Linked DNA regions of Caenorhabditis elegans. The protein of the gene in region 1 purifies or fractionates together with the protein of each later gene. This does not show direct contact. Each region holds a gene or a part of one and is shown in the gene's direction. Other genes may lie near its edges.

The links. The genes of interacting proteins can lie anywhere in the genome.
Region 2: the proteins of rexd-1 (region 1) and Y106G6E.4 fractionate together in Caenorhabditis elegans (co-fractionation; one large-scale study listed by BioGRID). This does not show direct contact.

What each region holds. Positions count from the first base shown.
Region 1 is NC_003281.10:1,832,947-1,837,574, forward strand, and holds the start of rexd-1 (Minor tail protein), read left to right. Parts: upstream 1-1,566; 5' UTR 1,567-1,573; coding exon 1,574-1,660; intron 1,661-3,186; coding exon 3,187-3,260; intron 3,261-3,317; coding exon 3,318-3,420; intron 3,421-4,172; coding exon 4,173-4,314; intron 4,315-4,628. Other genes in the region: Y39A3CL.7 (uncharacterized protein), read left to right, coding at 444-635, 888-951.
Region 2 is NC_003279.8:10,221,129-10,224,545, reverse strand, and holds Y106G6E.4 (putative 5-formyltetrahydrofolate cyclo-ligase), read left to right. Parts: upstream 1-1,767; coding exon 1,768-2,007; intron 2,008-2,327; coding exon 2,328-2,460; intron 2,461-2,508; coding exon 2,509-2,756; 3' UTR 2,757-2,904; downstream 2,905-3,417. Other genes in the region: ced-12 (Cell death abnormality protein 12), read left to right, coding at 1-394, 441-791, 837-1,063, 1,115-1,352, 1,432-1,573. UniProt on the Caenorhabditis elegans protein: Contributes to tetrahydrofolate metabolism. Helps regulate carbon flow through the folate-dependent one-carbon metabolic network that supplies carbon for the biosynthesis of purines, thymidine and amino acids.

The sequences.
Region 1 (4,628 bases):
GTGACTTGTGCGTTTCTCAGATTTTGGCATAAAAACTGCATTTATTCACATTTTCAGTCTTAAATTAGGCTGAAAATGTGAATAAATACCGTATTTCTGCCAACAATTTGACAATAGAGCACATTTGTCACTCGGAGATGCGGAAGCTATGCCCAAATTTTCATTTTTAAGCCAAAAATTTGGATTTTCACAAATTTTCAGTAGAAAATTCGAATTCTCCATCGATTTCTACCCTAGAACATCCTTCAATAGGCTTCTAGCTCGAATTTTGTTTTCTGGGGTACGGTAGCCCCAAAAGTACGCAAACACCGAGGGCCTCACGACAAAATGCACAACTTTCTTAATTCTTGCGGCTAAGCTCTGAAAAACAGGTTTTCGATGTAAAAAATGGCGAGAAACTCGATTTTTCACAAGAAAAACGCTGAAAATGTTGAAATTTTCAGATTTAATCACCGTAATCGATCTCCTCCATCACTTTCCTCTCGAACATCACGTCATCGGTCCCCGGAACGCCGGCGGGATAGATCACGATCCAGAAGTCTGACATATTCACCAATTGATCGAAAATCCCGAACAAATAGTGATAAATATGATAAGAAACGGGCGAAAAAGAGCAACAGACGGGATAGATCAAGGTTCGGTGATGAAAAATTTGAATTTTTTGAATATACCGCCAAAAAATATTCAAAAATTTGAATTTTTTGAATTTTCCGCCAAAAAATGATCAAAAATTTGAATTTTTGAATTTCCCGCCAAAAAATGATCAAAAATTTGAATTTTTGAATTTCCCGCCAAAAAATGATCAAAAATTTGAATTTTTGAATTTTCCGCCAAAAAATATCCAAAATTTAAATTTTCCGCCGAAAAAAAAACCGATATTTTTTCAGTTCTTCATCATCCGGTTCAACTTCTCCAATTCGACGCGAAAAACGCGAAAAATCCAGGAAATAAATGCATTTTTATTTATTTTTATATTTTTATTCAAATTTAATTTATTATTTTATTCGAAAAATCGATATTTTTTCTGAAAAAATCGATATTTTTCTGAAAAATCGATAATTTTCTGAAAAAAAAAATCGATATTTTTTCTGAAAAATCGATAATTTTCTAAAAAAAATCGAAATTTTTCTGAAAAATCGATAATTTTCTGAAAAAATCGATAATTTTCCAAAAAAAAAATCGATATTTTTTTTGAAAAATCGATATTTTTCCAAAAAAATCGATATTTTTCTGAAAAAATCGATAATTTTCTGAAAAAAATTGATAATTTTCTGAAAAAAATCGATATTTTCTGAAAAAATCGATAATTTTTCTGAAAAAATCGATAATTTTCTCTAAAAATCGATATTTTTCTGAAAAAATCGATAATTTCTGTGGTTTTCAATCAATACTTGTTTCAATTGTGCTTCTTTTTTTTGTAATTCAAAATTAAATTTTTTTTTCTCCGAATTTTTCCAATTTTTTCAGTTTTTTTTTGTTGTTGATTCTCCCTGACTTTGCAATATTTTTTTTTGTTTTACAAAATTATTGATTTTTTCAGAATTTTTTTAAGAAATTTTTTTTCAGCCGTACAATGCCACGTGGCATTGTGCTCACCAACAGTAAACCCGTCGAGGGAATGGTTTACCAAATGGCATTGGTTTTTGATCAAAATTATGAGGTAAAAAACCAGAAAATTCGCAAAATTTCGGTGTTTGCGTACTTTTGGAGCTACAGTACCCCCGAAATTCGAAGAAATTTGAGTGAAAATTTGAATTTCTTTGAAAAATTGGAGCATTTTGAGGAGTTTTGCGCAATTTTCCGGCCTGTAAACCGAAAATTGCCGATTTTTGTGCAAATTGTCGTGAAATCTAGTGTTTTTGTAGTGTTTGCGTACTTTTGGGGCTACAGTACCCCCGAAATTTGTAATTTGAGTGAAAAATCGATTTTTTTTTTTAATTTTTTGAGCATTTTCCTGATTTTTCAGAGGTTTTCCGACCTTTAAACCGAAAATTTCCGATTTTTGTGCAAATTGTCGTGAAATCCAGTGTTTTGGTGGTTTTTGCGTACTTCTGGGCCTGAGATTTTCAGTAAAAACTCGACTTTTTTTTTCGAAAATTGAAAATTTTGCATAATTTTATAATTTTTTTTCAGGAAAACTCGAAAACTAGACATTTTTACGATTTTTCAGTGCTAAATTCGAATTCAGAGCACCAATTTACCCCCATTTTGCATATTTTCACAAAATTTCGGAAAACTGCATTTTGTCGTGGGATGCTCGATGTTTGCGTACTTTTGGCGCTACCGTACCCCGGGAAATTCGAAATTTCGATTTTCCCGATTTTTTAGATATTTTACGCAATTTCCCGACCTTTAAACCGAAAATTTCCGATTTTTGTGCAAATTGTCGTAAAATCTAAAAAAAAATTTCGAAAATTTGCAAGTTTTAACCTAAAACTGCTGGAATTTACTGTTTTTTTCGAAATTATTGTAAAAATTTGGGAATTATCCTCTGAAAAATGGCTCAAAACCGAATTTTTGAGATTTCAAGCTAATTTTTCCGAAAAACTTTTGTTTTCCGAGGTTTTTAACTGGAATTTTGGAAATTTTTGGAAAAAAATACGATTTTTCATCAAAATTTCACGATTTTCGAATTTTTCGCGTTTTCCTAGGCTTCTAGCTCAAATTTGGATTTCCCGGGGTACTGTAGCGCCAAAAGTACGCAAACACCGAGCATCCCACGACAAAATGCACAGTTTTTTGAAAATTTGCGAAAATATGCAAAATAGGGGTAAATTGGTGCTCTGAATTCGAATTTAGCAGTGAAAAATCGTAAAAATTCCGAGTTTTCGAGTTTTTCTATAAAATTTGTAAAATTATATGCACAAATTTTCAATTTTTGAAAAAAAAAAGGTTTTCAGTTCGATTTTCGAATTCCCCAGCCAATTTTACCCCTAAATCGTGTTTTCCCAGCTTTCTATCGCGAAATTTCAATTTTCCGGGTTACTGTAGCCCCAAAAGTACGCAAACACCGAGGATCCCACGACAAATTACACAGTTTCTTAAAATCGAGCGAAACTGTGCAAAATAGGAGTAAAAAAGTGCTCTGAATGCGAATTTCGCAGTGAAAATGCACAAAAATGAGTAGTTTTCAGGCTTCTGGCCTAATTCTGGCCCGAAAAAAACGAAAATTTTCACGCTTTTCAGACCGTAAAGCAGTTTAAAATGATTCCAGTGGTTACACAACGCACAAAAACGAAACAAGTCTCAAATGTGTACAGGTAATCGGAAAAAAAACCGGAAAAAATCGATAATTAAGCGGAAAATGACATTTTCAGTGGAAATATGCGCCTCGAAAAATCAATGCAAATCGACGAGACTCTTGTATTCGGTCAAACAATTGACTGGGAACCAACTGATGATGAAGGAATGTCTGTTGAGGTGAAAATGGAAGAAATTCTGGATTTTTCAGTGAAAATTTGGAGAAAAACGAGTGAAAACCCGCGTTTTTGCGGTGAAAATTCGAAAAAAAAACCGAGTTTTTCGATTTTTTCACTGAAATTTTGGAAAAAATCTAAGAAAAATGACTAAAACTCATCAATTTCTATGAAATTCTGGATTTTTCAGTGAAAATCCCGTTTTTGCGGTGAAAATATCAGAAAAAAACAGTTTTTTTTGAATTTTTTGAATTTCCCGCCAAAAAAATATTCAAAAATTTGAATTTTCCGCTAAAAAATATTTAAAAATTTGAATTTTTTGAATTTTCCGCCAAAAAATATTCAAAATTTTGAATTTTTTGAATTTCCCGCCAAAAAATATTTAACAATTTGAATTTTTTGAATTTCCCGCCAAAAAATATTTAAAAATTTGAATTTTTTGAATTTTCCGCCAAATAATATTCAAAAATTCGCTTTTTTCACTGAAATTTTGAAAAAAGTCTTTTAAAAATTCGTGAAAAATTAAATTTTTCATTGAAAAACCTGAAAAACTACCAAATTTTTCCACTTTTTCGTCGAAAAATGACTAGACACTGAATAATTTTTACATTTTCCACTGAAAATTTGAAAAAAAATCCACGAAATTCCGAATTTTGATGCAAAAATCCGTTAAAAAACTGCAAATTTTTGCAAATTTCATGCAGAAAATTCGAAAAAATCCCCAATTTTCATCCTAAAATTCCATTTTTTTTGCAGATTGTGAGAAAATACAAACGAATCCGCCCGGCCTATGAATCTCGAATTTTCGACGGAGAAACACAGCTTCTACTGCCTGGAATTATGTCCAGAAATCGAGAAGTTCTTTGGATGTGTGATATTTGGCCACAACTCGAAATTAGTACGGGTTTTTCACTGAAAACCCGCCGCGAAAAATGGCTCAAATTCATGGATTTTTCAAAAAATCCCACTGAAAATTCAATTTCCCCCCAAAAAACCTCGAAAATTCGAATTCTCCACGTCTCCAGCTTTCAAATGACCCCTGACATATTCCATGCAATTGCCCATATTCCATGCAATTTGCCCCACCGACACAGCTGAAATCGGTGCTACAGTAACCCGCGTGGCGGGACCCGAAATTTTCAAATTGCGCGGAATATGGGCATGTTGGGGGTCATTTGAAAGCTGGAGACTTGGAGAAATCGAATTTCAGCA
Region 2 (3,417 bases), on another chromosome or scaffold:
AAAAACGATTTGAACTTATTAAATCTTTAGAAGTCGTTCCATTCCGTAATGCTGTACACAGTTCTCTTCTACGTGGTGGTGGTGGTGTTCGAAATCTGAATGCTATTGAACAACTTGTTGAGGTTCAAAGGAGTCTGATTAGTGCATATGAAACTTCACCTCCTACTGATGCTGAAGTTCAGAAAATTCTTGATATTGAATCCAGTGAGGATGTTTCCGAGGAGATCAGAGAAATGTGGAAATCACAAATTGGGGAACACCGATGTGGACGGTTGGCTGCAATTTCGATGGTTCAATTTGCAGAAAAAAGTCCGCAAGATCTGAGAATGCTAATTTCGGAGAATACAATGAGGATTGAAGGAGGAAAATGGCAACTGATTCCAATGTGGATGAGGTTTTTTTGCAAACGTAAAGATGTTCTGATGATTTTTTAAATTCAGGTGCTGTGACATTGCCGCAGAATTGTTCAGAGTAATACCTGGTCGTGATGAGTTGGATCGTTTGATTGTAGTTCTCTTTTCCACGGAGACTCCATTTCCAGCTGTATTCGCATGTATTGTACACCTTTTCCATCGAACATGGCGTGAGATGCAGGCAAAAGGAGGTGAAATGGAGAAAGTTGCGTGTGTTGTACTGGAACAGTTACGGCATGTGCTGAAAAGACGGGAAATACAAGATGTAGAAGAACTATCTGCGGATTTGGAGACTTTTTCGTATAGGGCAATGCAAGAAATTTGGAGAGAGGAACAATTGGGAAAGGAAAATATTCAATTACATAGTGAAGCTGTGATGTAAGTCTGAAAATTCCAATAACTTATTCGTATACATATTTTCAGACAACTAAAATCGAAATTGCGGCCAAAAATGGAGGAATTGGTTCGAATAAATCATCTAAACTATTTGAAGTTAGGCGCCGTTTTTCGAAAACCACAGAAAAGTAAATCCCTCGCAAAGCTCGCCTTCTGGCATTGGAAGCTCGATGCATCGGAGAAAATGCTCACTATAACTGGATGTGATGGTGAGAACTATGTGGAAGGTGTGCAGAGAGATGATATTCGGCAAGGTTGGGGGAATATTGAATTAGTTCTCAAATAATAAATTAATTTATTTTCAGTTTGGATCAAAGATATTGCTGATGTAACAAATAATGATGAGATTGATAGAAAAGCAAGCTCATCTCGATTCACTTCTTCTCCATCTACACAAATGTTAAGAGGGATTCGTGTACAATTAAAAACAACAAATGATATGAAAGAAGGCGAAGTTTTAATGGCATTGACATCCGATGAAACTCAATCTGTTATATGGCTTGAAGGTCTTGCTGAATTGATTGGGAGCAAGGCAGTTAAAAGGTATCTAGACATTGGTTACTGTAGTTACAGTAACCTGAAGAATAGGAAGCCCCGAAAATACCAATTGAAATATTTTCAGTGAAACCGATGCAATGGTTGAACGAATGCTGAAAATGGAGCTACGAGTTCGCCTTCTCAATGTGAAACTCACGAACCCCGAGGAGAAACCAGAAATTCCACCGATCCCTGACGATATCAAAAGCTTTATTTCAAAGTTTTAATCATATTCAAGCTTTATCATTCTTACGTGCATTTTACCATATTGAAAGGCAAAACATTTCCATGTGCATAATAAATTTTGTAATTTATGCCTATTACTGTGTATTTAACTTAATTTGAATAACGAGCCATTAACTACAGGCCACTAACAGTTTTCTGAATCTCTTGAAAACAAATTTTTGACCAACATTTTCAGATGAGTGCTATAAAAGAGGTAAAATCAGAGCTCAGGCAGTTTATGAAGACATTGCTCGGAAAAATTTCGAAAGAAGAAACTCAACGTCAAACAGAGGCGGTTTTTGAAAAAATAATTGAATCGAAATGGTTTCAAGAGAGCAAGAGATTGTCAGTTTATGTTAGTACATCGGGAGAAATACAAACTGATTCGATTATTCAAAAAGCGTTGGAAATGGGAAAAGAAGTTTTCATTCCACAGGTAAAATTTATTTTGAAACAGATGCGCAATAGATGTTAAGATGTAGGCATGTAGGTAGGCACATAGGCAGGCAGAAATAAAGCAGGTAGGCCGACAAGAAGTAGGCAGATATGAGCTATGAATAAAGGCAGGCAGGCACGTAGCCAGGCAGAACTAAGGCACTTGCGAGGTAGGCGTAAAGTAGGCCCCTAGACATGAAGGCTGTAATCGTTTGTAGTAGGCAGGCAATTAGTACCTAGGCAGATATTATATATGAATCCAGGGAGACAGGCACGTACAGCAAGTATAATTTATTGAAGTCACAAATGTAAAAATTTCAGTTCACGAAGGGCTCAACTGCAATGGATATGGTTCGAGTTCCGGATCAAACTGCTTTTGACAATCTTCCTTCAACACTTTGGGGAATCAGACAGCCAGAACCGAAATGGAAATGGCAAAGCTATCATGAAACAGGTGTGACTGCTTTTTAATAATATAACTCCAATTTATAAGTACTTACAGGACCACTGGATTTGATCCTTGCACCCGGCGTTGCCTTCTCACCATATGGACTTCGTTGTGGTCATGGAAAAGGATATTACGATCGCTTCTTCTCCACTCATCACAAACATTTTCCAGAAAACTCCCCAAAAAAGATAGGATTGGCTCTTCGTGAGCAAATTATTGGTACAATTCCTATTTCTGAAACTGATGTTGAACTTGATGAGGTTATCTATGAAGGAGAAACTATTATTTTTGATACTATTTAAGGCTTCACACTCTAAATAATATTCCCGATTGTGATATTGAGATTTTTTTTTAAATTTCTCTCGCCAATTTATAAGTGATTTTTCAGACATTCCTCAAATGGTTTTGTGATACAATTTCTTGCATTTGTTAACTGAATAAACTTTTTTGAACTACAGTTATATATAATTTTTTCATAGATTATTCAGTCATTAGTTAGAAGCATTCTAGCCTTCCGAGGTGTTTCAATTTTAGGTCCCACCACGAAAACTTGTGGAGATGTTCTGAAATGCCCCATAGAACTGCATAGCATTGTCCCAAAAGCCTGTAAATATATCTGAAAACTTGCTCACACAAAACGAAAGGATTCAAAGGCCTGAAGACATTAATTAGCAAAAATTAGATACATTCAATGGTTTCACTAATATCACACAGTTCAGATAGACCGAGATGAGGACTGATGTAGTTAAATCGATATATGATAGAAGCCCTGTAATTTACATGAAGAGCAACTACACGAAACTGAACAAAAATATTCATTTAAAGTCAATACATAGTAATCATTGTTCACTCTCAAACTTGTTGAACACGAGGTCAATTTTGGTCTCCCGATCCGCACTGCAAATATTATTATTTCAAAAAGGTTATCATGATCAACATACCTTTGCTTTTTCTCCCTTGCTT